2 linked regions of the Ovis aries genome follow. The protein of the gene in region 1 purifies or fractionates together with the protein of each later gene. This does not show direct contact. Links are inferred from orthologs where the notes say so. Each region holds a gene or a part of one and is shown on either strand. Other genes may lie near its edges.

Evidence for each region.
Region 2: the proteins of PTCD3 (region 1) and YBX1 purify together in Homo sapiens (co-immunoprecipitation; 4 studies listed by BioGRID and IntAct, with this or other methods). This does not show direct contact. The link is inferred for Ovis aries from reciprocal best matches to the Homo sapiens genes PTCD3 and YBX1.

What each region holds. Positions count from the first base shown.
Region 1 is NC_056056.1:58,029,001-58,045,257, forward strand, and holds part of PTCD3 (small ribosomal subunit protein mS39), read left to right. Parts: intron 1-3,094; coding exon 3,095-3,163; intron 3,164-3,638; coding exon 3,639-3,743; intron 3,744-5,180; coding exon 5,181-5,304; intron 5,305-7,084; coding exon 7,085-7,200; intron 7,201-7,687; coding exon 7,688-7,758; intron 7,759-9,045; coding exon 9,046-9,133; intron 9,134-9,587; coding exon 9,588-9,648; intron 9,649-10,125; coding exon 10,126-10,211; intron 10,212-11,296; coding exon 11,297-11,441; intron 11,442-12,107; coding exon 12,108-12,158; intron 12,159-14,116; coding exon 14,117-14,206; intron 14,207-14,498; coding exon 14,499-14,527; intron 14,528-15,371; coding exon 15,372-15,478; intron 15,479-16,257. UniProt on the Homo sapiens protein: Mitochondrial RNA-binding protein that has a role in mitochondrial translation.
Region 2 is NC_056054.1:17,196,398-17,211,758, forward strand, and holds the end of YBX1 (Y-box-binding protein 1), read left to right. Parts: intron 1-1,349; coding exon 1,350-1,439; intron 1,440-1,736; coding exon 1,737-2,039; intron 2,040-2,152; coding exon 2,153-2,235; intron 2,236-5,528; coding exon 5,529-5,763; 3' UTR 5,764-5,794; intron 5,795-6,628; 3' UTR 6,629-7,014; downstream 7,015-15,361. UniProt on the Homo sapiens protein: DNA- and RNA-binding protein involved in various processes, such as translational repression, RNA stabilization, mRNA splicing, DNA repair and transcription regulation.

The sequences.
Region 1 (16,257 bases):
GAACCACTTTGAGAACGGTGTACCCACAATATTCAAAGAAATTCAGTGATTAAGAATCTGGGTCTTGGGGCCAAATGTTCTGTTTCATCTTTATCCCAAAGTTACCTTTTCTCTTGATACATCAGGGAATTAGTTTTGACATGTAAAATTTCCTACATGTTTTCTTTTTTTTAATGGCATATATTATGAATGTTATATCAAACTTATTTAGAAAAATACATCTGGTTTATAATCTGTTTTCTTACCTGTAAAATGGGTGTTTACTTATAGCACCAAACATTGAGGTTTAGGGTGAGAAATAAGTTAGTACATGTGAAAGGGCCTAGGACATCAACTAGCACAAAGGACATGCTCTGTAAATGCTGGCTATTTTTTTATTGCTCCAGCTATCTGATTTATTTGTGAATAAATTCCTCCCTTCACAATTCAAGAATAGGGCCTATAGTCTTGATAGATAAAATGAAATCATAGTAAATGCCTCAGAGATAGAACTTTCAAGTTCTCTTTTTTTTTTAACCACAATATCTATGTGGATTCTCACCCTCATTGAGGCAGTTGTCACAGATTTTCAGAACTGTTTTTCGACTATGGGTGTTAAACTTATGGGCCAAATACATCCTGGAAGTTTCTGAGGTTGGTTTTAAAATACTGCATCTCCATTCTAGCAAGATACTTAGATTTTCAGCTCACATATCCATAAATAGGCACTTGAAATGTAAACTCAGGGAAATAGACCTCAGAGATTGTTGTCAGTTTTTCAGTGAGATTAACCCAAGGGGTATTTAAGTCAAAGAAGTTGTAGAATTATGTACACACTTGTCTGATTTGGTCCTGGGCTCTTAAAATCCCGGGGACAATTATTCATTCATTCAGGAACCACACATTCCAACCCTTAATGGTGCTTACCAGGTCATCCAAGCCCACATCATCTCTTACTATGTTGGATTAATTACAGCAGTCTCTGTTCTCTTGACTTCCTCAACCCAGTAAGCAGCCATAGCGACCCTGCTAAAACGTTGACTCACATCACTCTTCTACTCAGAACTCAAATGGCTTCTGATTTGTTATAAATGAAACAAAAACTGAAACTGCTCCAAGGGCGCCTGAGGCCCTACCTGATCACCCCCATCCCCACCCTAGCTCTGACCACATTTCCTGCCATCTTTCTTGTACCCTGCTCTAACCAGGCAGCCTCCTAGCTAGTTCTCAGTTTCTTATCAGGCACAGGTCTGCCTCGAGGCTTTAATGCTTTCTATTTGTTCTGCCTAGTTTATTTTTCCCTGAGATAGCCACATAATTTCTGCCTTTATCTCTTTAAGTCTTTTCCTTGAGATCTTCCCAGACCACACCATATAAAATTGTATGTTTATTTTCTGTGACAGCTTGTCCTCCCTCCCTTCCTTTTCCACAGCAGTTACCGCCTTTAAATTTACTATATGTTTTATTTGCTTTGTTTTCTGGAGATTTTATTCCCCACTAGATTTTGAGTTCTGTGGAGGATAGGATTTTGTTGTCTCCCTGGCACATATGAGGTGCTCAGTAAATATTCAGTGAGTGAATAAGGCAGTCACTGAACTAAGCAGCGGTGGCTGGGGAAAGGGACAGTGGAGTAGGTAGAAGATTTAAGGAACTGGAGTCAGCCACAACTGATGACAGCTTAGTTGAATGGAAGTAGCGGGAGAGGATCTTTAATTTGGGTTGCAGAGTGCTTGGTACCCTTCACTGAAATGGAGACGATAAGAGGGGAGGTCAGAGAAGAACAGGTGGAGGTAGATTTGGTGTGAGGCATCTGGGCTACAGGACCAGAGTTGAGGAGTTTCTCAGAAACCATTAAGGTCTTGGAAATCACTGAGGGAGGAAAATGTGGGAAACAAATAAGAATAAAGTCTAGTGAGAGAGGTCCAGCATGTGACCCAAAACTAGAGGCCCAAACAGGTATTTGATAAAGATGGTGGACAGGACAGAGCCAGGCAGCGGTTGGGAATCATGGAGTAGATGGTCCAAGGAGGCCGTCCTAGAACTGCTTCCTCTGAGTTGTCCTTCATACCCGTCACGTCGTAGCAGAGAGTGGATGCATGCGTGCTGAGTGGTTTCAGTTGTGTCCAGCTCTGATCCCACAGACTGTAGCTCGCCAGGCTCCTCTGTCCATAGAATTTCCCAGGCAAGAATACTGCCATACCCTCCTCCAGGGGATCTTCTCAACCCAAGGATCAAACTCATGTCTCTTACTCCTGCATTGGCAGGCAGGTTCTTTACCACTTTCGCCACCTGTGAAACCCAGAGATCACCTGTGAACCAGATGAAATGAGCCTCAGAGGAAGGTAAAGGGAATACAGGATTTGAAAGTGGTATCAGGAACTGAGAGCCCTAAAAAGTACTGCTTCCAGGCCCTAGGTCAGGGCATCCTTCTATTAAGAACCACAGGGAAGCTCTCCCCCAGAGAGTCCAGGTGAATACTTCAGGGTGGCAAGGGGACTGTCAGAAGAGATTCAGGAAGTAGGTTGAGTTTTTTCTGTGAAACAAAGTTGCCAGAAGGTACAGAGAAGGGGGCTGTGAAGGAGAGGGGAGGAATAGAGGAAGTAATTTGAGGGCCATTCTAAGAGAGACTGCTGGTGCCAAAGAGTTAATCTTGTTCAGGGTTCTACCTGAAACAACTTAAAGAAGTTTGGAACCTTGGGAAACAGGACACTGGAGACGCTGCTGCTGTTCCCACTTCCTGAGAGGGCCGCATATAAATGTTATCCTCCATTTGAAGGAGCCTCTTGGGTGGTTAGTGCCATGCGTTGAAGGGATACCCTAGTTCAGGAAACTGGTGCCCAGGCTGGTTAATTCAGAGGCTCTTGACTTTGCATTTAAAACGGTGATATCCCTGCTGATAGCAGCCCCTAGTTAAAACCAGTCATGGAGATTTAAGCCATTGTTTGCTTTAAATTGTGCATAACTATAACCAAGTCTCACAGAGCCTAGGGTACAGCGTAGGTGTTAGTGTCTACCAACATACATATTTCTGCATTTGTGATACATGCAGTTAAAACTTCCACACGGTCCTCTTAATAAAAGCCTAGCTAAAGAGACTTGTGTGTCTTCTCCACAGGATACCACAGCTGTACCTTACGCATTTCAGGATGATCCTTACCTCATCCCGACATCCTCTGTGGAATCTGTGAGTATTTTTAGGTAACTTGGCAAGTGTTATGTTTTACCTTGTTGGTTTGGGTGACAGGATGACACATATGACTTATTTTACTTGTAGACACCTTTGAAAAGTTCATAGAGGCTAATAGATAAGTTGGTAGATTTTCTGATTCCTTTACTACTTTTATCAAAAAGTTTTAGAGATTGGCTATGGAGAAGGTATTTGGTTTGGATTTTTAGTACTTTGAAATCTTTCCCACTCTAGAGCAATTCACTCAGTTTAAAGGTATTGTTTTTACACACCTCAAGCTGTATGTAGGATCCAACCTGAAATCATGTCACATTCAGCGGAATAATAATAATAATTAGGTAGTTTAACTTGGAATTCTGTGTATTACAGTGTTGTTTGGTTGGGGCGGGGGAGGGCAGAATAATTCTTGCTGAGGGTATAACTTTGATCTAAATTATATGTAGTATCAATTTACGTCTTTTTCTTTATACAGCATTCATTTTTGTTGGCAAAGAAGTCCGGAGAGAATGCAGCAAAATTTATTATTAATTCATATCCCAAATATTTTCTGAAAGACATAGCTGAGCCTCATATACCGGTAAGGAGAGGTAATTGCAGTTTTCGGATAATACTATGTAAATATAAACTAAGCTGTCACAACTAACGTTTCAGTAGCCATTTGAATGTCTACAGTATTTGGGTCTAATATTATTTCACCCAGATAATATTTACGTCTTTTAATATTTATGGTTATCATTGCTCACTGTACTCACCTTTATTATCATTTTTAAAACTACATGTATTTGCTCTTCATTTTGTTTTCTTCATTTGACTTCTGCAACACCAGGCTCTCAGATCTTTACTTCTGACTGCCCTTTCTGGTTCCCTTAGTTGATTTTCCATCCGCTCCTCAAACCTTGGTGTCTTTTTCTCAGGATTCCGTACTTGGTCACTCTCTTTTTTTTCTCACTGTAATCTTCCTGCTTCACCAACCCTTATACTCCATTTGGCATTCTTGTATGTTGGCCTCAGTGTCTCTACTTTGGACTCCAGACACTTTTTTTCCAGCCCCCTCTGTTCTGTGGGCTTGAGGGGTGAGTGTGGAGGGCCTGCTGGGTGTTTGGCATTGCACTTAGTGGGTCCCACAGTGCTCAGCTGAACATGGGCTCTGCCTCTGAGCTAAGTAGTGGAAATAGTAACTCAGACTCATTGTGTCTAAAACCGCTTCCTCTCATATCTCCCTACTTTGTAAGCGCACACACCCAGCCACCCAGACACCCCTTGTGCTTCTCAAACAGCAAATCTTAGGGACAAATTAGGACGTCAGAGTGATTGTGTCCATAAAGGTTGAAATCCTGAACGAAGACAGTGACAGCAGTGGAGTGACCATTTGTAGGGCCTGCTCTCTCCCCTCTATGTTTCTGACCAATAGTTACTCTTCTGTGTGTAGTTCACTTCTGCTTGAAGCCTTCCCTGGGTCCCTAAGTATTTGAATAATTTGGTGAGTGAGGTAAAATCAACATACCTTGGTAATACTGAATGTTTACAGTAAAAGAAGTTATCAGGGAGGGAAGGTTTCCGTCTTTACAAACTAGATATACTGTGGAACCTTCGGCCAAGATTGAGAGGAAAGTAGGAAGGGTGGTTTTAGCAAGGGAAAAATAGTAAGTTCAGCTTGAAATTAGGGGATTTAGTTCACTGGGAACTAAATTCACTGGGAAAAGTGGAGACTTTTAATTCGTTAGGCTGTAGTTCTTCGATATGGGATTCTTCAAATACAGACTAAATATTTATAATTAGGAGCTTTTAAATTCTTTGCCCCAACTTAGGAGATCTCTAAGTAATCTTGTTTTGGTGACTAGAGAGGTAGAGTTAGATTCCTTAAAGAGACATTCATGTTAAAATGATAGGTGGTATCTAATGCATGAAGCATGAATATTATGGTGTGTTAATCAAATACTGTGGTGTGTTGTCTTACTCTGTTGTGCTTTCCCATTGACCTGTTGGCACTGACTTTAACCATCTTATTTTCTAGTGTTTAATGCCTGAGTACTTTGAACCTCAGATTGAAGAAATAAGTGAGGCTGCTCTGCAGGAACGAATCAAGCTCAAAAAAGTCAAAGCTTCTGTGGACATATTTGATCAGCTTTTGCAAGCAGGTGACTAAGTTCATTTGAAGCCCCCAGGTTCATGTGAAGCTCCCCTGGGAATGTGGGCGTGGAAGTAGGCCACAGTTGTGCACGTGATCTAGACAGTTGTGAGTACGAGTTAAAAGTGCTATGCTTCTTCCTCTGCTTGGTAGCTGTTTTTATATTTTTTATAGTTTAGGAAGTCATATTTCAAGTTCTGCTTTAGTGTCATTTTAAAACTGGGTAGGATAGAGTTGTCCTTGCCCGTGTGTTGTCCTCTTGTGCAGGTAGAGAAATCTTACAGCCATTCTTTCTTAGCTTCTGTTTTTAACATGAGGTTTGTTCATACTGTATTCACATTTCTTACATTCTTTAAGTACGTGTGAGAGGCAAAAAACAGACTAGAAAGAAATACTTAAAAAGGAAAGCGCACTAAGCTGCAGGATCAGACGCTTGGGTAGGTTCTGGCACTGATTAGTGCTGTAGCCTTGAAAAGCTCAATTCCTTTAATCCTTCTGTCTCTCAAATCCTGTGGCTATCTGAATTTGATGTGGATGAACCTCTAGGGGTTTAGGTGGCAGGGCTTGTAAGCTACCATGAGATGAGAATATACCTAGAGTAGCATGAAGGCAGCAGCATTGCTTAAGTTTTGGAATCTGGTATGCTGGTCAGTGGTTTAGGATAAAAATCAGCCAAACATTCAGTCCAGAGAGAGAAACTGGACTGAATCACTCAGTATAGTCTTGAATATGGCAAGAAACATTTTCAGAAAACTTAAAGAATTTTGGTGTGTAGCCTGTTAAAGCATCAGGTGTACAAATGAATTGCTGATGCAGATTGTCATTTAGGGAGGCTTTTTCCTCTGCTTGTTGAATATGATAAACATCATTATATTAAGACTTGTCTTCCTCTGTCTTACACACTGTGTGGTGTAGATGCAAGCAGCTGTTCAGTGAACCTTAGTAAAGACAGGGTCAGAGCTGTAACACTCAGCTCATTCAGAGTAATGGAATGAGTCGACATACTAGGAGAGGAAATATAGAAAATTTCAATATCAAGGCCTAATAAGTGCCAAGCACTTTGTAGGCATTTAATTCTGTAACACCTTATGAGTTGGTGTGCTTGTAGTCGTTTATAAAGGAAACTGACTGACTTCAAGTAATCTTCAGGGTCACAGCTTTGAGATGCTATGAGGCAGTCAGGTTACACACCATCACCTGTTTCCCCTCCACTCTGTCTTTTGTCTTTTCTAAAGGCTTTTAAGTTTCCTGATAGCCATTTGTATTATCAGTATATTTTCTTAAGAAAAATTCAGCTACTTTTCTTTTTAAAGCACTAAATTCATACTGCTTCCTGTTCCCTTTTCTCCCTCTTGATAAGTGTCAAGTTGGGAACATAATGTTTGAAACAGTAATTTTTTAAAGGCTGCTATCTCTAGGCATGTATTTCAGCGAGGGCCTGGATCTAAGCGAAACAGTCCGATTGCGTTTGTGAAGACAGAACTGGGCCCTGGGGGACTACGTGGCAATCATTTCCAGAGCGTTCATTTCGAAGGTGATAGGTAGAACTATGAGAGGGTTTCTCTGGGAATATGAGTACATAGAATAAATGAGCCCAGGGTCAAACTTGGCTCTGGTATTTTATCTCTTCTGTCAGACAGCACTGTTAGGGATTCTGTGTTATCTGCATCACTCCAGATGTTTAAGCTGATGTGGGGTGCAACTCGCCCTTGGAGAATGGAATCCAATAGGCTTTAGTTCTTTGATGTTTGAAAGATTCTCCCCCTCACCCTTTTTTTCACCACCCACAGGAACCACTGTATCTCTGGAAACAACTAACAGTCTCTTGGATTTGTTGTGTTACTATGGAAACCAAGAACCCTCCACTAATTATAATTTCCAACAACAGGAACAATCAGAAGAGTTGGTAATGATTTTTTAAAGTTTCTTTTGGTAGTAATTCTTTCTCATTTTAAGGTGATTTCTTACGCCTTATGTTAGAGATTTGTGCTGAGGTGTGATATAGCACAGTATGTAGCCTGGACAAAAGTTGATGTGGAGGAAGAGATGGATTTTAACAATTGTTTTACCCTGGTTCCCTCCTTAAAAGTATTTTGACCTTGCCTGCCACATGCAGAAACCAGTGACCAGAAATGTTTGGATGGGCCCCTTTGTTGTTGTTTCTCAAAGTGACAATATGTTGTATATGGGACAGAAGGGAACACCCCTGGCCCCAGCCCTCTTGAAAATTCATGCATATATAGGCAGGGTCTCCTTTTTACCTTCTACCAAATCTTTATTTCCTTTGCTTTTCTGAAATTTCCTCTGCCTTACCGGTTCTGAGTAGTATAGCTTGGAGAATGCTTTCCGTTGTCGTATTCTGTTTTATATCTGTTGGTGATGGCTCATTTCAGGAAGAGGGCGAAGAGGGGGATAACGTGAAGTCTAAGAAGAAGGCTGGTCACCAGCTTGGAGTTACTTGGAGGTATGTTACAGGATAATTAGAACGTTTATGGATCCTTACGGTTGTGGAATGTTCTCCGTCACCCCCTGAAGAAGACACAACCCTGTAGTGTTCTAAAATGCAGTTTGTTCTCTGTGTGCAACGTAAATGTCACCGTTGGTTTTCATGTGTTTGGGCCATTTTTTATTAGATCTTTACTTCCAACCAGCTAGAGGTACAGGACTGGTGTTGGTTTCTTTTTTTTCCTCCCCCGCCTAACTCCATGTAACCGTCATGGTATGGTTCTTTTGGTAGTTTCATTAGTAGTCCTACCTTGCACTATATGCCTCTAACTCTAAAAAGGTTCAGAATTTTAAAAACTATGTTAGAATACACATATGTCAGAGCGTAGTTCTAAATTAAGACGGCTGGCTAACAAACAGAAGTATTCAGTACCGAACAAAAGATAAATATCATTTATGTAATGATTCAGGATTCAAATGAACTGAGTAAAACTGTCTAAAAGAAAGGTATTTCGTAAGGGTGTCTGGAAAAGGAAAGCTACTGTTAATATCAAAATGAGTGAATAGAAAAATTAAACTTCTTCAGTAGATACTAATAATTTCTTATAGTGGTTGAGAACAGGGACTTGTGAGTACCATTTTGGCCCAAATGTAGGCTCTATTTTCCAAGATGTGTTGGAAACAGAAAATGAAGGTGCAGCGTGATTTGTATAACATAGCACGTTGACTGACTGACTGAAAGAGCCAGATTATATAAGCTAGAATAGGACAATGGATTCTAGGGCACCACATGTCTGCGGTTGCCTCTGATTATTTATATCCAGTTGAAAGAGGGTGGAGGAACTTCACTGTGTACCCTGCTGTGCAGTTTGCTTTTTATTTATAATGCTGAGTATATATTCGGAGAAGGCAATGGCACCCCGCTCCAGCACACTTGCCTGGAAAATCCCATGGATGGAGGAGCCTGGTGGGCTGTAGTCCATGGGATCGCTAAGAGTCAGACACGACTGAGCAACTTCACTTTCATGCATTGGAGAAGGAAATGGCAACCCACTCCTGTGTTCTTGCCTGGAGAATCCTAGGGACAGGGGAGCCTGGTGGGCTGCTGTCTGTGGGGTCACACAGAGTCAGACATGACTGAAGCGACTTAGCAGCAGCAGCAGCAGCAACCAGATCTCCCTCTCTGGGTGGGAAGAATTACTTGAAATTATATGCAGAAAATGCTTGGAACGTTGCAAATACTCCATGTGGTAGCTGTTACTGGTTTTATCTGTTTCCACTGGTTCACGTTTACTCTTGTGTCTAGAGCCAAAAACCATGCTGAGAGAATCTTTGCTCTGATGCCTGAGAAAAATGCACATTCTTACTGCACAATGATTCGAGGAATGGTGAAGGTAACATTTGTTCTGGATAGTTGTATGTTTTTGTCTTTAATTTCTACTGAATCGGGGTTTCTCAGCCGCAGAACCCTTCACAGCTGGGCCACATAGTTTGTTGTCGTTGGGGGTTTCCAGAGCCTTGAAGAATGTTTGAGAACTGCCTCTACCCACTTGATGCAGTAATTCATCCTCCCATCCCCCAGTTGTGAAAATATAATTCTCATAGTTGTTTTTTCATTAAAATAAGATACACTTATTGAAAAAAAATTATTAGGAAAAAGTTTTTAAAAATTGAAATCACTGCATTGAAGTAACAGGAATAGAAACTGTATTATACCACACTGCTCATTTAAAAGGAAAAACACTGTCCATTCTGGTCTATCCTTTTACTTCTAAGAACAGTAGATATGCAAATATTTATTAAAGACAACTTTTATGGTGTTTAATTTTCATCCTTTCCCTCTTCCAGCACCGAGCTCATACACAGGCATTAAGCTTGTACACGGAACTGTTAAACAACAGACTGCGTGGTGAGTTGTGTCTGGAGAATTCATCTCTGTCCTTCCTTTCCTTCTCATATGTGGGCGTGTGTGCGTGCTCAGTCATGTCCTAGCTCTGCATGCCATGGACTGTACCTTGCCAAGCTCCTCTGTCCATGGAATTTCCCAGGCAAGAATACTGAAATTGGCTGCCATTTCCATCTCCAGGGGGTCTTCCCCTCCCAGGGACTGAACCCGAGTCTCCTGCATTGGCTGGTGGACTCCCTACCTCTGCATCACCTCTGCATTCTTACCTGTGTATCATTGTATCAGGAGTGTATACAATCGCAGGATTTTGCCTTAATGATTCGCTCATTCTTAATCTTTTCCTCTGATGTTGGTGATTGAAACGAGAATCCAGAGCCAGAGAAAAGAGTGGTTTTCTAGTTTTGTGGACTCATGTGCATGACCACTTGGCCTTTAATCACTGACCCCAAATTTTGTTAAAGTAGTTTTCTTCTTTTATAGCTGATGTGCACACCTTCAATTCATTAATTGAAGCAACAGCATTGGTGGCGAATGCGAAATTTGAAGAAAAGTGGAAGAATATATTGGTAAGGAGGAACCCTCACTTTGGCTACTAATAGGCCAAAATATCCTTTGCTGGGAGTCCTGAAATGCAGGAGACACTAGTTCATTCCCTGGGTTGGGAAGATCTCCTGGAGAAGGAAATGGCAACCCACTCGAGTATTCTTGCCTGGGAAATGCTAGGAATAGGGGAGTCTGGTGGGCTACAGTCCATGGGGTTGCAAGAGTTGTACATGACTCACCTACTACACCACCACCAACCGCCATCCTTTGCTCGGAGTGCATGGGGTGGAGAGAGCATTCACTGAGCTTCTTTGTGGTGGTCATCTTTGCACTGGGCACTCCACTTGCAGTGGCCTGTTCATACCCTTCTAGCAACCCTTAGTTTAATTAGCTGTATCTGACATGTGACCCAAGCATACAGCTAGAATCCAGGAAGATCAGTTTGCTATATTATATTCATTTATTTCCTTATAATAGTGTGGGGTTTTTTTTATATTAAAACATTTATTGAAAAAAATTACTCGGAAAGTTTTTAAAAATTGAAATCACAGGAACAAAGTAACAGGAATGGAAACCACACTATACCATTCATTGTTGTCCAGTCACCCAGTTGTGTCCAACTCGTTGCGGCCTCAGGTACTGTAGCCCGCCAGGCTCCTCTGCCCATGGGATTCTTCAGGGCAGAATACTACAGTGGGTTGCCGTTTCCTTCTCCAGGGGATCTTCCCGACCTAGGGATCGAACCCGCGTGTCCTACATTGGCAGCTGGGTTCCTTAGCACTGAGCCACCAGGGACGTGCATACCATACCATACTGCTCATGTGAAAAGGGAAAAACCAGTCTGTTCTAGTCTCTACTTTTGCTTCAGTCTTAGACTCTTTAGGCCACTAGAGACAGTTGGACACGGACATCACATGGGGGTTAGAGTGACTGTTGAAAGGGCCTTCTCTCAGGGGCACTAGATAATTCTTAAATGGGGGGCTTATTTATTAATCTGCTTTAAACATAGGCAGACAGCCCAATTCTTTTAGTGTGTTCTGTTAGTTTATTGGACAAATTACCCACCGGGCATTAAAAAAAATAATACTCCTGCTTTTGATTCAACTAGGACCTGCTGAAACAAATGGTTGCACAGAACGTGAAGCCCAATCTACAGACTTTTAACACTATCCTCAAATGTCTCCGAAGATTTTATGCATTTGGAAAATTGCCAGCCTTACAGACCTTCCGGGAAATGAAAGCCATCGGGATAGGTGAGGGGTGTCCTCATGTCCCCACTGGAGGCAGTGCTGACCTGAGGCTTCAGGTCCAGGTGATCCAAAAAGAGACTAAACTTTTCTGTGCTGTTTACATAATATGGTAGGAATTTCCTTTCCACCATTAAGCACACTTTTCAGTGATGTATATTTAGTATAATGGGAGCTCTTCTTTATCATCTTTTTGCTGCTTATAGTAAATTACACTCTTGGGATTTTAGATACTTTTTAATGGATTTCTTGATTCTAGGGAGAATTGTTCACTTACAGTTGGCTGGTTTTAAAATCTCGTGACATTTTCTGGCATAATTAAGTATTTGAACCCAATTGTGTGCTAGTATGTTGTATATTTTTCAGTATTTATGTTATTGAATCAGTTCACTTCTATCTTTTAGTGTTCTTAAATGAAACTCACAAGAGTATTGACTGTAATGTTTTAGTGATAGGTGTCTGGACTTTCTAAGAGGAATGTGATCTCTATGACACCTTTCCACCTTTACATTAATCACATCAGCTGGGAAATGTCTTTGTTCAGAGGAACGGAATGCATCTTCTACTTACATAACACCACTAATGTTTTTATTCACAGTAAGCTATATTTTGTATAGCTGTGTTTGACATTTCTTTTTTTTTTTCTTTTTTCTATGTACCTGGTAACATAAGAACCCTCGCTTGCAACATATCATCATATTATTCAGCTGTTTTATCAACATGGTATGTATGTATGTCATTATGTTATTTATGTAGAGATTAGGCTAACTTCACTGCTAATGAATAAAGATTGGATAGTTCACAGAATAGCGTTGTCTATAGCCTGAGCAAAAAGTTACTCGTGCGGGTACTGTCATCTTTTTGTGATGTAAAACTTAAGTCGGAGTGGAGGAAGGTCATTAAATGTACTAACGGGTAGTATATGGTTTTGGCCAGAAGGTACTTGAGTTTGGAATTCCTTTTGCCCTCTAGAACTGTGCTGTCCGATACAGTAGCTACTTAGCCACACGTGGCTATTTAATTAAATTCCTTCATAGCATTAGTGCTCAGTAGCCACCTGTGACTGCTGACTGCATCGTCAGTGATACAATTATAGAACATTTCCGTCTTTGCAGGAAGCTGTTGGATAGTCCTGCTCCACAGTAAACATTATTTTGAAGCCTCATGGGAGAACTTCAAGGCTCCATTTGTTACCTAATTTTAGGTCAGCTGTGCTCTATTGAATGGATTTTGGAGCAAGGCACACCTGAGTTGAAATTTCATCTCTACCATTTACCAGATGTGTGGGAAGGGACTGGATGTCTTACCCAAGTGATGCCATCACGATGTAATGATGAAATGAATTATGTGTAGTGTCCCGTTCATGTTTGGGAGGCATGTAGTAAGTACTGTAGGTTCTTAGCCATTTGCCCCAACCTGCGAAACAACCCTAGGTATAGAAATGACAGTTCCAGTCTTTCTCTCCTGCAGTGGGCTTTTTGTGTGAAAACAACAGAAAATCTTTATTTTGGAAGGGTAGTTTTGCAAAATTCACATTCTCACACATAGGGAAGTAGGAGCTGTTAAATGACTTTATCTTGAAAACAGGTGAACTGTTTCCACAGTAATTTTGTCATCTAAAATTTTACTAAACTTTGGTGGTATTGTACTGCTACTACTAAGTCACTTCAGTCGTGTCCGACTCTGTGTGACCCCATAGACGGCAGCCCACCAGCCTCCCTCGTCCCTGGGATTCTCCAGGCAAGAACACTGGGGTGGGTTGCCATTTCCTTCTCCAATGCGTGAAAGTGAAGTCACTCAGTCGTGTCCGACTCTTAGCGACCCCATGGACTGCAGCCTACCAGGCTCCTCCGCCCATGGGATTTTCCAGGCAAGAGTAGGTATTGTACTAAAACTAAGTAATTCTCACCCTAAAGCCTATTCCACTACTACATCACACATCACCTTGGCTAACTAAAGTCACTGGTGCTTGTGTTTCCTAAGTAACACCCAGGGTCATAGGGGCAGGAGTGTCAGTGTGTCTTAGGGATATAAATCGATAATTGTCTGTAATAATAGTTGCTAGGAATTTACCCAAAGGAAAAAGCCTAAAATAATGAAGAGATGATACATATAAAATAGGCTATTAGGAAATAGAATAATTAGAACAGTAACAAGTGCAAACATCCTTGAGGAACTAGAAGTACATCTGTGCTGTCACTGAAACTATATTATCACTTGCAGGTGCATAGGTGGGGAAGGGAATATAGATAAATAATGTGAAATGTTCAACTGGAAATGTCACAGATACATTTTGATTCTATAGTTTTCTGTTTCTTGGCTCTCATCCTGGTTATATTTAAAAGGAGCACAAATTTTTATTAGCAAAAAACATGTTTGTTTTCTAAGTAGGCAGGCTTGGTGAGGGTGTCCGTCTGTCTCCCATTTCAGTGCAAGTCCGCCTTGTGAGGAGACTAAGAAGGAGGGGCTGCGTCTGTTGGGAGCGCTGTAACTGACCCAGGCCTTGGGGAGAGCTGCACTCAGCAGAGGGTGCTCTCATTCCTCTCACAGGGATATGCTTGGCCAGCTCCATGGCTTGGGTGGAGGAATGAGAAAGGCAGCCTTAGGACTAGTTCTGCCTACCCCATGGAAGTGCGGGAAGTAGGCTCCTGAGAAAACCCAGTTGCCTTCTTTTTCTGCAGAAAGCCCTTCAAAAGGATCATCCCTCATCATCTATGATATCATGGATGAAATAACGGGAAAGAAGTTTTCTCCAAAGGACCCCGATGACGGTACGTGCAGAAATTGCTGCCGTAAGACAGCCAGCCTCTTTTCCTGACTGGGGTTATAGAGCCTTGTGATGAGGATGGGGTTTGATTTAGTTTAGCCATCTTTGGGTGGTTATTCTGAGAAAGCAGAGTGTCAGTGGCTTGTGCTGTATGTTGCTTCTCCTTGTGTTTTCATTCTTTTAGGTTTGTCCTACACCTTACCAGTTTTGTTGCCAGGATTTTTAATTAATGTTACTGACCTGAAAACATACTTTATGCATAGTAACCAAGGCTCTTCTGAACTTTGATTTTTCAGATATGTTTTTTCAGTCAGCCATGAGGGTTGTAAGTACCATTTCTTGCTTAAAACTTCTTTTTTCTTTTATCCATTTCCTAAATTCATCATTGGTGGTTGGGAGGACTCTCCCTGATTCGTTCACTTCCTAACTCTTGTGTTCATGTCATTAGTCCTAATTTTTTATTCCTCTAAAATCTCTACAAAATCACAGCATTCCTACCCTGTGTGGATTGTGTTTGTTGTCTTTTTTTATACCTTTCTTCAGATAAGGTTTCAGAGTATTTCATATTTGCCTGTTGTTAACTTATTAGAGTGATGGTTATATCTAGTTTTGTTTTTTCAGCTTATCGTGCTAATCGTAGGAAACATTTTCAAGCAGTTTCAGAATGAATTTAGCAGCCTTATTTCCTGAGGATAATTGCTTTGCTACTTAGTGTGTGTCTTTCTAGGTTCTCTCCTCTGGGTGTTCAGACATGCATGTCCACACTCATTTCCGTGGTGTCTTGTTTGTTGTTGGCAATATAGTGTTTCATAGAAGGGAATGACTTGTTGTTGGGTGGGTTTTGGAGTTATTTCATGGGGATTTTTGCCAGTATAGTGATGCTAGAGATAGCACTCCATCTGTCTTAAGCATGACATCCCAAGTGTTTTTGTCTAATACTACATATAGGTGTAATCACTAGATTAACATCATTTTGTTTTAAATTTCACTGAACTTGGTGATTTTATCCCTACCCCCAATTTCTTATAATTCACTTGCTGTCAGTCAGTAAAATGTTAAATCAGTATACGTGTTTCCCCAGGTATCTACTTTCTTGCTTCATGTAGGGAGCCACCTTTGGCTGATAAGGATCACTGAGTGATGGTTATTTACTACTTCTACATTTTCAGTGCTCTTCTCTCAGAGATCTAGAACTTGCTTACCAGGTCCATGGCCTTTTAAACACTGGAGACAACCGGAAATTCATTGGCCCCGATCATCGGCGTAATTTTTATTAGTAAGTATATTGGAAATATATCCTTCGCATTAACGGAACACCTGTATGCAACTAGTGGTCAGTTCTGCAGGTGGGAGACTTGGCAGTCTTATTTTAGGCAGCATGATCCTGACTTTAACGATACCAGTTACGTGAACACTTGGAAGGTTCAGTGGTAAAACTGATTTGTCAAACTGAGGTGTCCACTGTGTATCTTTTAAGCTATTTGTAACTTTAAATCTGTGTATCTTTTCCTTCTGCTGTTCTGTGCTTATTCTCTATCCTGTCAGACTTTTTGCGACCCCATGGAGCCCACAGGGCTCCTCTACCCATGAGGATTCTCTAGGCCAAATACTGGAATGGGTTGCCATGCCCTCCTCCAGGGGAATCTTTGCAACCCAGGGATTGAACCCAGGTCTCCCGCATTGCAGGCGGATTCTTTACCCTCTGAGCCACCAGGGAATCCCAAGAATACCAGAGTAGGTAACCTAACCCTTTTCAAGGGGTTCTTCCCAATCCAGGAGTCGAAATGGGATTTCCTGGATTGCAGGCGGATTCTTTACCAGCTGAGCTACCCAGGATGCCACACTGTCCTATTTTATATTTTCAAATTCATAGCAGGGTGAATCCCTGAAGATTTCATCTTAGCCTCTCTTGTTTTTAAAGATGTTGGAGCCCAAAGAGACTCCTTACATGGGTTTGCTTTTAGGCAGATAAAAACAAGAATGTAAGAAGGCAGCCTGTTCATAGGTGCGTGGTGGTTCCCTTCCATGTGTCCAGATCCTCTCTTCACATTGAAC
Region 2 (15,361 bases), on another chromosome or scaffold:
AGACTTGGGTACAAGAGACAGACAGCAAGGCTTGCCAGTCTTGCTGCCTTTGGGCAACAGTGAAGGGTCTGGGAATGTGCAGGAGAGAATTGATACTGACCAAAACAAGAGTTTGGGGTTTTAATTAACCAATATTTCTGCTATCCCCTATGACTGCAGATAATTGAGAGTTACATGAAAGGTATGGAAACTTTGTGACAGTTTAGATGACAGATGAGATCGATTATTTGGCTGAACACATGTCACCCACTTGTACCAACCCACAAGTTGTCACCAACATGCTTTCCTCTTTATTTTGGAGGTGGTTTCAACATTTAGTTGTTTCTTAGGACTTTGGCTGCTCAGGTCTTGGTGGTATTACAAGGAGACTGCAGTTCTGGGCAACTTTAGCTTAATTGGCTTCAGATTTGTTGGTTGTCCTGCCTCCTCTGGAATGGAAATGCATGGGTGATCCCGTAATGGATACCGCTGTGATATAGTAGAATGAACATGGGATTTGGAGTCCCGAGACCTGGATTTAGAAAAGTCCATACTCTGTCACTTACTTTGTGACCTTGGGCGAGTCACCTGACTTTTAAAGCCTGTTTTATTACCCTAAAAGAGGAATGAATAATGATGCCTCACATCTTCATAATGCGATTGAGTGGGTAATGCATGAAAGTACTTCATGGAAGTATTAAATGTGAGATGTTATTCTTCCCCTTTAGTTTTATTATACAAGTCTAGAGAATGAGTAACAATGAGAGATTTAATGTATTCTGGGGAGGTAATAACCCACAGAATATTAAAAAGTGTCATAGTTAATTCATGGGAATTGCATTTCCATCGAAGTATTCCCACAATCAGGTTGGAAGGGATTTTGGTTGACATTTGTAACAGAGTTTGATATGGTAACACAGGGACAAAGTTGGTTTGGTCAACTTTGAAGCATGCAAAACTAAACTCGCCTGTCATCTAAACTGGCCCTGTGTGGGGCTCGCTTCTACTATTAAGTGCAGTCTTTGGGGATAGGTGGATATCCTCATTTTGTTCAAAGCTACATATAATGCTTTTGCAAAAAGCATTTTAAAATATATGTTTATAGTTGTGTTTGTCTTGCGTGTTAAATTACTTGCTTTAGTTTGGAAAATAGTGATAAAATGCTGGGGCCTTGTAAGATTGGAGTATTTTGGTTGAGGTTGGGGGTAGCACTGGTCCTTGTTTTCCTAAATTTATTGATGGTTTGGTCTTATTTAAAGCTAATTTTACTTGTATATCCAAGTTAAAATAATATTGACTCTGGTACATTTTAAATGAAAAAGCACATTATTCTCCCCTGTTAATCTATTTTTGGAATGTGATATTACTAGACTGCCATAAAGAAGAATAACCCCAGGAAGTACCTTCGCAGTGTAGGAGATGGAGAGACTGTGGAGTTTGATGTTGTTGAAGGAGAAAAGGTGAGGATGCTTTTTGTGTAAAGGTTTGACTTCAGTATGGAAATATTTTGGAGATCTCATCCATTAGGATGGTGGCTCTAAGGTGGATGGATGGGTCAGGTGACCACTTGAACACAGGTGCACCAACCCTAATGTGCTGGCTGCAGATAGAGGGCTACCTCTTCAGAACAGTGAGGAGCTAGTGTTAAATCATTTCTCTGCACCCCTGGCCACAGAGACCCTTTTGTACTTTTTGTGTGCGTTTTGCTGCGTGTCCTTAATTCCATTGTCACTATGACTATATGATGGCTTTTGTAGGGTGCGGAGGCAGCGAATGTTACAGGCCCTGGTGGAGTTCCAGTGCAAGGCAGTAAATACGCAGCAGACCGTAACCATTATAGACGCTATCCACGTCGCAGGGGTCCTCCACGCAATTACCAGCAGAATTACCAGAATAGTGAGAGTGGGGAAAAGAATGAGGGATCGGAGAGCGCTCCCGAAGGCCAGGCCCAACAGCGCCGGCCCTACCGCAGGCGGAGGTTCCCACCTTACTACATGCGGAGACCCTACGGGCGTCGACCACAGTACTCCAACCCTCCTGTGCAGGGAGAAGTGATGGAGGTAAACGGATTTTATTTCCTTCTAACTGCTGCTGTATTCAGACTTTTGTCTGGTTGGGGTTTGCGCTAATGTAAATGGAGTAAAATTTGGCTTGGTCTCCATTGCCTTTTCAGGGTGCTGACAACCAAGGTGCCGGAGAACAAGGCAGACCAGTGAGACAGAACCTGTATCGGGGCTACAGACCACGATTCCGCAGGTGCGGCTTGCGTTTAGAGTTGACTGGAGCGCGTGCTACGACTCGGCAACAGCATGCTGCTTCTGCAGGCTTTTTCAGTCATTTGTCTGTTAACACTTCACATTTTCTTTCATCAGATGCCTAAGAGGTGAACCTGAAGTCAGTTATCTTTGAGAATGTGTTCTTTGCATCTTTGCTGGCACTGGTTAAAAACAGCTTTATAGATGTGGTCTACTTTTTGCAGTTGGTTTTGTTTTTGTTTTACTCTAATGAGGGTATGGAATTTCCCATTTCTGTCCTTTAACAGGTAAGAGAATGGTAGTTTAAACTGCATTGTATTATAACTTTAAGACCTGATTCATTGGGAGGGAGAAAAGTAAAGGTAAGCGTACCTTTTTAACAGAAGGTGTTTAATTATTAGAGGAATTAGGGTAGAGCTTCACAGGCCAGATAGGTTTAATGCATATATGTAGTAAAAGGTCTTAGAATATTGAGTCTCCAGATGTGATCCCTAAAACTAACAGGTAGCATCTGTCTAAACCTAGACACAGATACCTTGTTGAAATACTGCAAACAATCACAATGTCAGCTCTTAAATAGTGATAAGTGTTTATCTGTGATAGTGATAAACGGTCTAAAATAGGCTTTCATACTCTGTCCCTTTAAATCCCGAGGGCAGTATCCTTGGTCTACTTCTTGTTACGTTGTAGAACTTTGCCAATTTTCTACCTATTTTCATTGGTGTGTTTAAAAACAGCACATGAATTTTTGTTGAGTGCTTCAGTTTTATTTAATGGTCTCATTTGAATATATTTATTATAATCTATCGATGAATGCAGGGCTTTCCAAACTATTTAGTCAGGAATTTTTTGTTTGAATAGTAAATGACACATGCTACTTATAATCCAGGGGGTGAAATGATTGATGCAGATCCAAGAGCAGATTGTGAGAAATCTGAGATCAGTATAGCAGGAGTTTTGCTGAAAGGAAGATAGATGAGGTGGCAGTAAAGGGAAAGGAATCATTAAGAAAGGATTTTTTTTGTTTGAGAAATAAGAGCTTATTTGTAGGCTGAAAAATGCAATTTTTAAAAAAGGGTACTTGTCAGAATTATCTGCTGCAGCTATCTTCAGTTAGGATTGGGTTTGGTCCATGCAATGGGATGTCTTTTGCTGGGAACCGTGGATGTTGCATGTGTAAAAAGCCAGAGTTTATGGGCACCAGTGTGTTGGTGAAGTCAAAAGGAAAGGGGTGAGAGGTTTGGGACAAATATGTGAAATTATCTGTAGAAGAGAAATAGCGGAAGTCAAGTAACAGTGATCACAAATTTAAAGTGGGTCCACCAAACATGCTTGTGCTTTTCCAGCCATTTTGAGCAGCAGCCTCAGATTAAGCAGAGTTAGATTTGTTCAGCATTTGTCTACTCAAAGATCCTGGGTTTGGGTTTGATGATAGTCATTAGTGGTAGACCTTGCACTTCCGAGAGAAATGAGAGAAGAGGATTAAGGCAGAGTTAAGGGACAGAATGATCGATAGGATTGTTGGATTATAGGTCCTAGTGGAAATAAGAGTGGGAGAAGAAGACTCCTGGAATACACCAGGAAAAGAAGTAAAGGGTGACTAGAGAGTGGAGTGCTTGAAACTGAGAGAAGCTAAGTAGCAAACAGGAGTTGCATGGGAGGCAAAGTGGCCGCCTCGTGCGAAGAGCTGACAAGTTGGAAAAGACCCTGATGCTGGGAGGGACTGGGGGCAGGAGGAGAAGGGGACAACGGAGGATGAGATGGCTGGATGGCATCACCAACTCGATGGATGTGAGTCTGAGTGAACTCCGGGAGATGGTGATGGACAGGGAGGCCTGGCGTGCTGCGATTCATGGGATCGCAGAGAGCTGGACACGACTGAACGACTGAACTGAACTGAAAGAATCTAAAAGCCCATGTTATGTGGAACTGTCGTGATAATTACAGTAGGAAAAGGGCAGTAAAATGGAACATGACGTTAAGATTTGAAAGGTGGGATTTTAGAATTCAAAAGGCTACAGGGGAGGGCCAGGGCAGTTTTGCCGAAGACTGGTCAGGAGTTCCCAGACACATGGGAAAACCGTTTCAGGAGAAGAGGTGGTGGGGGCTGTGGGGGGCGGGGGAAGTTGGGAGGGGTAGGTGGAAGACTAGAGGGGTTAGCGGTGAGAAATGGAATCGTAAATAGTTAGAGCTGGAATGACCTACACAGGTGTAAAGGCATGCTGGTAATCCTGGTGTTTAAAGTGTGAGACTCAGTGGATTTTAGTATATTCACACCAGCCCCTGGCTGCTGCTTTCCTTGTCTCTGTATTTGCCTAGTTTGTGTCTGGCTTTCACCTCGTGTATTTGTCATTCATGCCTTTATCATTAGTACTTGATTTCTTTTTATGACCAAATCAGGTTCCGTTGTATGGATATTACATTTTGTTCTTCGTTAACTTGGTTGATGGGCATTTGGGTTATTTTCACATCTTGTTGTGAATGTTAAAATAATGCGTGGTGGATATTGTTTTGGATACAGATCTAGAAGTAGAACTGCTAGGTCATTTAGTCTCCAAGCTGTTCTACAAAGCTGCTGCACCATTCTATATAGCCAGACCAGCCAGCAATGCATTGAGGGGTTTTTCCACCCCCTCCCCAGTGTGATTGTTTTCAGCTCTCCTGGTGTGTATGAAGTGGTTTTGATCTGCCTTTCCCAAACTAATGGTTGCTGTGTACTTTGATTTATATGAAGATAATACCTTTTCTCTGGTTTTGATTTCTGCTTTTTTTAAAAAAAACAAATGTTCATCTATAAAGTTTAGCACTTGTTTCCAAACCTGGTTAGTTTAATACCCATGTTTTTAAATAGCATTAGGGTATTGATGGTATTGTACAGCTTTAGTCCTTTCATGGCTAACTTTGGAATAGGTTATACTATGGGTATTTTGAATAATATGAGTGTGTTGTTCAGTCACTAAGTCATGTCCAAGTCTTTGTGGCCTCATGGACTGCAGCACTCCAGGCTCCCCAACCTTCACTCAACTATCTATGAATATATTGGGTATATATATGGATATATTGGGTAATATGAGACTGTTAAAATCAGTTTTAAACGGTCATCTTAGTTTACACTTCCAAATCCTTTTACCAAGTCGTCATACTCAATTTGTGAAGTAAAAACCAAGTTTACTCTTTCAGTTTTGATAAATTGCCTGCATACCACTTGATAAACAGAAAGAGCAGATGTGTTGACCTGGTGACTTGATTAAAGAAAGGTTTTATCATTGCAAGCTTCCACAATGTTCATTCCAGGGGCCCTCCTCGCCAAAGACAGCCCAGAGAGGACGGCAATGAAGAAGATAAGGAAAACCAAGGAGATGAGACCCAAGGTCAGCAGCCACCTCAACGTCGGTACCGCCGCAACTTCAATTACCGACGCAGACGCCCAGAAAACCCTAAACCACAAGATGGCAAAGAGACAAAAGCAGCCGATCCACCAGCTGAGAATTCGTCCGCTCCCGAGGCTGAGCAGGGCGGGGCTGAGTAAATGCCGGCTTACCATCTCTACCATCATCCGGGTAAGTAAGCCTCGATGGCCCTCTGGGCAGTCATGAGTGATGTCCATTAATGAAAGAGAGGAAAACCCAGTTCATCAGGTAAGGTAAGCCACTCAAACTTACAGTGTCTTCTACCCAAACTAATCTTAAGATGACTTGAATGTCATTTTGTTAATGGATTGTATATCAGAGCCATACTTTGGCCTAGCTTTGCATTGTATCTTTTGTATTAGGGCTTTTTTGTCAACTTTCTTGGATGATTTTAATGTAAGCTGGAGAAGGAAATGGCAACCCACTCCAGTATTCTTACCTGGAAAATTCTGTGGACAGAGGAGCTTGGTGGGCTGTAGTCCATGGGGGTTGTTAAGAGTCGGACATGACTGAGAACACACACAAACACCAGTAAGCTGAGGAAAGTCTTGCTGACTACAAGTAATTACGTTATGAGATTCTTCATTTTCAAAAATAAGTGGGATGGCTACTCAGATTAAAAACGTAGGTGATGATGACCAGGATGGTCTGTTTACGTGGTGGCTTTGGCATTACATCATCAATTCTAAAATTAAGAGGATTCCCTTTTTACTTGATTCTAGGAGACATGTATTTGTCTCTGTTTGACTCTAGAATTATCATTTTCAGCCAGTGAGACTTTTTCCCCCTATTTTGAGTGTCAAAAGGTCATTCAGAACCTATGAGTAACCATTCTTATTATATAGTAATGCCCACTCCTGTTATGAACTGCTGTGTAAAGGTAAACCAGTATGAGATGTGTTCCCTGCCTAGCTAATTTGATATACTGAAAGATTGCAGTGAACTATAGAAGGTAATTAGAAAACTTCTTTTTCTCTCTTACAGTTTAGTCATCCAACAAGAAGAAATGAATATGAAATTCCAGCAATAAGAAATGAACAAAAGATTGGAGCTGAAGACCTTAAGTGCTTGCTTTTTGCCTGTTGACCAGATAACTAGAACTATCTGCATTATCTATGCAGCATGGGGTTTTTATTATTTTTACCTAAAGACGTCTCTTTTTGGTAATGACAAACGTGTTTTTTAAAAAAAAAAAAAAAAGCCTGTTTTTTCTCAATACACCTTTAAAGGTTTTTAAATTGTTTCATATCTGGTCAAGTTGAGATTTTTAAGAACCTCATTTTTAATTTGTAATAAAAGTTTACAGCTTGATTTTTTCAAAAAAAAAGTCAACAAACTGCAAGCACCTGTTAATAAAGGTCTTAAATAATTGTCTTTGTTGTATATTTCTGCCTTGCTTTTTTAGTTTACAAGTACTTAGCTGGTTATTAACTTAAATCTCTGCAGATAGGTGATACTTAGTGGTATTTACTCAAGGAAATGCTCTTAAAATGTGTAATCATTTGTTGAGTAGCATACCTGTACTGAAAATTAGAATTTGCTACGATAATCTGGCCATTTTCCATTCAGTGAGTTCCTTTTACTGGGAGGCAGTGGTAAAGAGAGGGCATGTTCTAGTGGAGACTAACAGAACTGTGAGTTACTTCAGCCTGCAGATTGAAGGACACCCACCTTAGTTAGCAGATGTCTGCCGCAGAGACTGCTGTACTCAGTAAACACAGCTCAGCTCCTTTACTTGGGTACTAGAGATGGTAACCACAAATGATGGAATGCTTGTGGGAAGGCTGCTTAAAGAATATAGAGGTCAGTGACATTCATTTTGTCCTCAGCACCCTTGTAACATAAGCGTGTTCCATATTTTATAGTGTCTTACTTTCCTTTATGGAATAATTTGATGACTGCTATCCAGAGACATTCTGGACCGTTCTGGCCAGTTTTGGAGACCTTGGGGATATACAGTTGGCTAGAGAGGCATATCTGGAAGTCATGCAGTGCCGTGTGCCTGTTCAGAAGGGGCTTGGCATTCACAGAGCTGAGAGTTGATTTGCAGTGGTAGTTTTGGTTCAGGGCACTGGTGAATAAATTGGGAAAAAATAGGCAGGTAGCTGGGCTAGTATCAGTTAACACCTTGAAATGCCTTTTCTCAGTTTGGGACCAACTCTTTGGATGGTATGGACAATTGAGCACTGCTCATGGTATGTAAAATGTAGTGTGTTTTTTTTAACAGTTGCATGCATTAGGATATATGTTGTGGGAAATGATTTCAACATTGCTTATATAATCCAATAATGTAAGAATGTGATTTTGAAAACCATGGCAAGGAAGAAAGCTTTTTGTGATGTAGCCTTGCTGCCAGTGTTGCAGACAGAACATTGTTTTTCTCTTGTGTATTTTTCTCATGTCACCCAGCACCTCATGCTGAGTTCACTATGTATGAGGACTAGACAGCCTAGAGGGGGCGGTGGCCGCAGTCCTCTGCTGCAGCGACTTCCTCTGACAGCTCTGCCCTAGCTGCTTACCCTTGAGTCAGGCTTTCCCGCTGTAAGTTTGAATACCTCATGTTCCTGAAGAGCTGTGTAGCTGGAGCACAGGAAGATGGTAAGGAACTGAGTGCCAATTCAGTCAAATCAAGTTTGTTGTCTGTTATTATTCCTTTAAAATTCATTTAGGATGCTTTTGGTTTCTGTTGAAGCTCGTACTGGGTGGCCTAGGCAGTCAGGTAATACTTAAGGAATAGGTGATAGTGGTAACAAACCAGAAGAGCTTGTAGTCAAGAATGGATACTCAGTAAAGAGCGAAAATTTATTTCATATAAGAAATACAGTAGTATCAAAGAAATGCATGCAGAACTAAGTAGTAGCATTTTCCAAAAATCTGGGAGGAAGCAAAACTATTGAAAGATGTTAAAGCGAAATGAAGATTTACATGTTCATGGATACTAAGAATGATGTCAATCCATCTATACAAATTCTTTTTTTTTTTTTAATGGCATTTTTGGGTTTTAGAAAAGATGAGAGATGGGAGGTTAGAGGAGAGAAAAGGATGTAAAATAGTTGTCTTGGAGAATAGGAAAATAAGTATACCAAGAAAGTAGAACTGCCAGCAGGTAGAGGGTTGGGTTTCACCCGAGCTTGGCCAGCTGAATCCAGCAGAAGGGAAAAAAGAGTAAAGGTACAGAAAGCAAATGCAGAGGCTTCCCTGGTGGCTCAGTGGTAAAGAATCTGCCTGCCAGTGCAGGAAGTGGGTTCGTTCCCTGGTCTGGGAGGATCCCACGTGCTGCAGGGCAGCTGCAGCTCGCATGCTGAAATGCCTGGTGCCTGAACACTGGAGCCTGTGCTCTGTAACAGGATGAGCCAGCGCAGTGAGACGCCCATGCACTCAGCACAGCTAGAGAAAAGCCAGCACAGCAACAAAGACCCAGCACCGCCAAATAAGGCTTAAGTGAGTGCCAAGGTAAAGCTGATGCTGTTGTCCTCAGCGTCCACTTCCCGGGTCCCCAGATCTAGGAGGTGTATCCTTATTAGTGAAAGCCGATGAGAGCACATAGCTTGCTTTGGTGATTGAAATGAGTCTGTGAGCTGACACGGTTCCAAAGTGATCTGGTGGAGTAAAAGTACTAGTTAAGGAAGCTGGAAGAATGAGATGCTGGCCTTAAACCAACAAGCGTGGAGACCTGGGGCACTGGTAGTGACAGTTCAGGTTAAGATCACGTGTGTAGAAGACCAAACCGGAGGTAAAGGGGTCAAAAATAGACCATGGTGTTCAAAAGGATCTTGAGTGTTGAAATTCCCTCAGTGTTGATAGAAGTAGGTGTGGTGAAGGCCCTGGAATGTCAGGGAGTGCTGCTGGATCTTGAGCTTAGCTTGAAGGCATGGGCTTCAAGGAAGTTTGAATTTAAAAGTGGCAATGGTGTAATCGAATTAGCCCACCATCAGGCACCACAGTACTTTGGGTTTAGAAAAAGAAAGCCACTACTGAAAGCTCAAAAGAGTGTCCTCAGCACAAGTCTGCGGAGAGGTAGGCTAAGAACATTCAAAAAAGCAGCTAGTGGCTAAATCCACAGGACAGGGCAGGGCACAGTGGGGGTTTGAGAAGCGATACTGAGTCAGTAGAGGAGAGCTGATAGAAATTAAGGTAGTGGCACTGAATGGGAATTGAGCATCTGGCAGAGGTAAACAGGCAAGTATAGTTCATGACAGGCTCATTACTGAGGTTCTATAGTTTCACCAAGGCTGGTAAGGCTGCTTTTTGGCTGAGGAAGGAGCATTCGTTAGGAATTCTGCCACTCCCTGCTCTGAATGGTGCCTCAGATATTGGAGAGCCTGCTTAGATCCCTTCAGTCTGGCTGGCTGGCTTTTAAAAGTTATAAATGATAAAAAGTCAACCTGCATAAATACCTATCCAAGTGATGTTTAGCACCTCTTACTGGCTTGGGGCAGCCAGCTGTACAGCCCTTCTGTCTGGGTGATAAGGGGTCTGAATGATGTTTGTATATTATCTTTTTGGCTGGCTGTAGCTTGTGGGATCTCAGTTCCCTGAGCAAGGATCAAGCTTGAGCCCTCAGCAGTGAAAATGTGGAGTCCTAACCACTGGACTGCCAAGGAATTCGGATGAATGACTTTTAAATAGGATAGTTACCATTTTAAGTTACTCTGGGACAGAAAAATGGGACGTTGTAGAAGCCCAGATAAGATGAGACCATAGATAAGGTAGTAGGAAAAGGTCAAATTTGAGATGTTCTCAGAAGTTGCCGGTTTGAGGGGACTAGCTGACTGTGGAACGAGGAAGAGGGAAGAATCTGGCGATTGTAGAATGGTGAAGAAGATAGAGCTACTTGCTAGAACAGGGGCTGCACAAACGGGAGGGCTCTGTTTGCTTGCAATGTCTGGGGAATCCATAGGGAAGGTGTGGGAAGCAGATGTGAAGCTAAGGAGTGGGGTGTTGACCACCCATCAGGTGGCTTTTGAAAGCTGTGACTGGAGAATAGAGTGGAGCCCCAAAGATGTGAGGAATCTAGGAAGGGGAGCATCACGGAATCATGGAGAACCAAGAAGTGGTTCAGTGGGCATCAAAACCAAACAGTCCAAGAAGGGGGAGGCTGAAAAGTGTCCCTTGGGCTCAGCAGCAAGGAGACAAAGGGGGAGAGCAGGCTTGTGGAAGTGTGAGGGTGTCCCCAGACTGAGCAGGTGAGTGGTGACAAGGGCTGCTGCATGCTCAACCTTCCGCATCTCAGTAACAGTCCATCTATAGGGGTTCCAGCCAAAATCCTCAAGTCTCCTGACTTCTCACTTAAAACACTCCACATCCAACGAGTCTGCAGATCCTCTTGGTTCTGCCTTTGATATACCCAGCATCGGACCGCTTCTCACCACCTCTGTCCACAGGGGTCCAAGCCTCTTGTCTCTCACTTGGATCGTTGTATGTGCTAGGTGAGCTCCCTGCTACCAAATTTCCTGCCCCACCTGTCTCCAGCCATTTCTCTTAAAAACTGTGTCAGACTCTGGGTCACTTCTCTGCTCAAAACCATTTAGAAGCTTCCAGTCTCACTTTTCAACAAAAGTCAACACCCTACAGGAGTCTTCACAGTGGGCCCCACTCACATTTACTGCTTTCCCCCTGGTTTACAGCAGCCTCACAGTTCTCTTCCTGGAATGTGCCAGCATATTCCAACTCAAGACTTTTACTTTACTTCTTGACAGGAAGACTGTTTCCTCCAGGAACCAAATGGCTTTCTTCCTCTGTTATTTCAGGGAAAGATTAGGAAGGCTTTCCCTGACCACTTTTTAAAATAGCAGCCCGTCTGTGCCTACATCTGACCTCCCTGCCCTGCTTGACTTTTCTCCATAGTGCACATATATCATCATAGGCTAATCAATAGTGCATATTCTTTTTGCCAGAAAGTAGAGGGCAGAGATACTTGTTTGTGTTTTGTGTTTGCTTTTTCTGATATATTCGAAGATCTACAAGGGTACAGAGTAAAAGCTCAGTAACTTATTACGCTGGGAAGAAGTGGGATGACGGAAGTGAGAGCTGCCGCTGGAAGGGCAAGATAAGCTGGTAATGTTAGACTGATTTATGTGTTAGCCAAATAGGTGCTCTTGAGAGTGACAGGGATTGCCAATCACACTGGGATGAAAAGACTGCCCAGGAGTCCTGGTCACTCCAGAGATACCAAATTTGAAGGAAGAGTTTGTTTAGGATGAGGAGACATTTATGTGGGGTTGGGGGAGAAGGGGCCAAACAAGAAGAGCTTTGTGATTCTGTGGTGCAACCAAATGCCTTGTTTACCCTATGCATAAAATTCAGTCTTCATAGATCATTTTGAGACACCAGGATGAAAAGGTGATTTGCAGTCAGAAAACCTGAGTTCCAGTCCCACCAATGAAAGTAGAGGGTAAATAGTACCTACTTCCCAAGTTTCTTACGAAGATTAACTAAGAAGAATACCTTATGTTTTGTTGTTCAGCTGCTAGTGAAGTTGCTCAGTCGTGTCCAACTCTGAGACCCAATGGACTAACCTACCAGACTCCTCCGTCCATGGGATTTTCCAGGCAAGAATGCTGGAGTGGGTTGCCATTTTCTTCTCCAGGAGATCTTCCCCACCCAGGGATTGAACCCGGGTCTCCCACATTGTAGGCAGATGCTTTATTGTCTGAGCCACCAGGGAAGTCCTGTTCAGCTGCTAAGTCATGCCCTATTCTTTGCAACCCCATGGACTTCAGCATGCCAGGCTCCTCTGTCCACCACCTCCGAGGGTTTGGTCAAATTCATGTCCATTGAGTCAGTGATGCTATCTGACCATCTCACCCTGCCCACCCCCCTTCTCTTTTTGCCTCCAGTCTGCCAGCCTCAGGATCTTTTCCAGTGAGTTGGCTTTTGTCACCAGGTGGCCAAAGTATTGGAGCATCAGTTAGTGCTCAGTAGGCTGTTACTATAGTAATTTTAAGTATCGACTTGGATAGGAGCTCTGAACACTGTAAACTGAAATTGTGGTGGCCATGAGTATGACTTGCAAATCTGTAGCTGACCCAAGATGCTTTGCTCTGAAATCTGCCACCATGTTTGCCCTGAGGCTGTGCTTTGTAAGTGCTCCCAAGCCAATCAATGAGTAAGCTCAGCAGAGTTTCTAAAACAGTCCTGTTCCTGGAAGATACTGAACTCCTCTGACAGCTAACTGTCAGACTATACATGTTAGTACCATGCAGAATACCATGTTAGACTCCATGGTATTCTGTGATTCTTCAACCCAGTATTCCTTCACTTAGGCTTGATGAGCCCCCTACCCATTTTTTAAAGGTGTTTCCATAGTAAACGTCTTGCATTTTAATCCTGTTGTGGGGAGGGTGGGGGTCTACTGCTTGGAGAACCCAGACTAACATAAGCACCATAGGAAAGTAAGGAGGTGAGGAAGGATTCTGGGAAGATGACCGAGGATGAAGCACCGGGAATCTGTCCCCGTAATCTCAACAAGTACACTGATAAAATTGGTCTGATGTAACTTTTGAAGGCTTGCAACCTCCAGGGAAGACATACGGTAAACTGAGATTAATTGGGGATTTTGGTTCTTCATTCACCAGTGACTACCCAGCTCAGCCCTAAGGCATGCAATTGTTCTGGAGCTCCTTGCACACACCTTGCAGCAGCCAAAGGGAGCAATAAAGACCCTGTCCCTAAATACTGAGATTGTGTTCTGATTGTAGTCAATCGGCTGTTTCTCATCAAAGAGGTGCAAACACAGATAGCAGTCGTTGTTGGACCTACCCTCATTGTTGCAAGCCTCTCCCCTCCAGCTGAAGGGACTTTCAGAGGAGCCTGACTATATTCTCTAGTCGACCTCCACACCCCCATCCTGTGAAGTGAAGTGAAGTCACTCAGTCGTGTCCTACTCTGTGACCCCCATGGACTGTAGCCCACCAGGCTCCTCCCTCCATGGGATTCTCCAGGCAAGAGTACTGGAGTGGGTTACCATTTCCTTCTCCAGGGGATCTTCCTGACCCAGGGATCGAACCCGAGTCTCCTGCATTCCAGGCAGACACTTTAACCTCTGAGCCACCCTAGTTGCTGGCAACTGAAATAAAGCAAAATTTCCACCAAAAAACAACAACAAACTAGGCAAAATACATAATTTTTTAAGCTTTAAGAGATTGAAATACAAACTACTAGGCTAGGTCCAGGAGAGGATGAAAGTGTAGAAAAGTAAGTGATTTTCAGGGCTTCCTTTCCCCTGGATGTGTTTGAAAATCTAGGCGAGAGAGCAGAGCCTGGGTGCTTATCTGGAAGCTTAAGTTTGCTGGCCTGGAAGAGGCAGTTGAAACTGCTAGAGGGCCCACTGAGCATGTGAACCCTTGTGTATTACCCCGTGCTTTGAGTTGAGGACTTTGAATTGTTACCATGGTAGTAAATTAACCAACCCTCACATAGATTGCCACCTGACTTGGAGTCATATAGGGGCCCAGAGATCTCAAGCCCTAGACTTCAATAAAGGTGATCCTGAATTGCTGGTTCCACTGCCCCCCACCCCAGGCACCCGGAAGTAAAATATTTGTGGAAAATAGTATAATCCTAGGCTTTGAATTATTTCTATAAATGTTTTACAAATGCCAAATCAAGCATACATTCAAAGATGATTAGGTCTACAGGAGACAAGTCATCACGAACAAGGACCAGTAGAAGGCAGAAGCAGTAGACGGTGGAAAAGGCCCCACAGGTAGCCCAGAGGCCAAAAATATTAGACACAGAATGTAAAGCAACCATGTTTACTGCTTCATTAGATAAAAGACACTTGAAAATTTTAGGACGTGTTATGGGCTGAACTGTGACTCTCTCCAACCCAAATTCATATATTTAAATCCTAACCCCCAGTACTTTCCAGTGTGACTCTATTTGAACATAGAGTCTTTAAAGAGATAAGGTTAAATGAGATCATGGACACTAGGCTTAATCCAACATAGCTGGTGTCCTTATAAAAAGAGATTAAGACATAGGCACAAGGAAGGACCAGGAAGGCACCAGAAGAGGACAGGCTTCTACAATCTAAAGACGGAGTGTTCAGAGATAAACTAACTGCCTACACCTACAGCTTGAACTTTCAGCCTGCAAGAATGTGGGGAAATAAATTTCTGTTGTCTAAGCCACCCAACATACGTTATTCTGTTACAGCAACCCAGGCAAACTAATAAAGGAGGGAACCAGAAACTGTATAAATTGACAGCAGATTTTTAAAAATTAACCAGATGGAAATCTGAGACTATAAAAATACAATACACCAAAGAAATCAATAGACAGGTTCAGAAGCTACTTAAAAGCTGAAGATACAAAGGAAATTCCCTGGTGGTCTAGTGATTAGGACTCCACGCTTTCACTGTTGAGGGCCTGGGTTCAGTCCTGGTCAGAGAATGAAAATCCCACAAGCCATGCAGTGCAGTCAAAAAATAAAAATTACCTGAGAGATAGTCGAAGGAAATCATTTCTAATGAAATACAGAGAATAAACAATGTAGAAAATAGAGGAGAAAATATAGAGATAGAGAATATAGTAACAAATCAACCGGTCCGTAATTGTAGCCACAGAAGAAAGAAAAAAGGAGAAAATTGAAGAGAGAATGACTAAGACTCAATCAGAAATGACTGGGGTGGGGAGAGGGGCAGACACCAAAAGAGTCAAGAATCCCAAAGAGGTTAAATAAAAAGAAATCCACATCTAAACACATCAGAAATG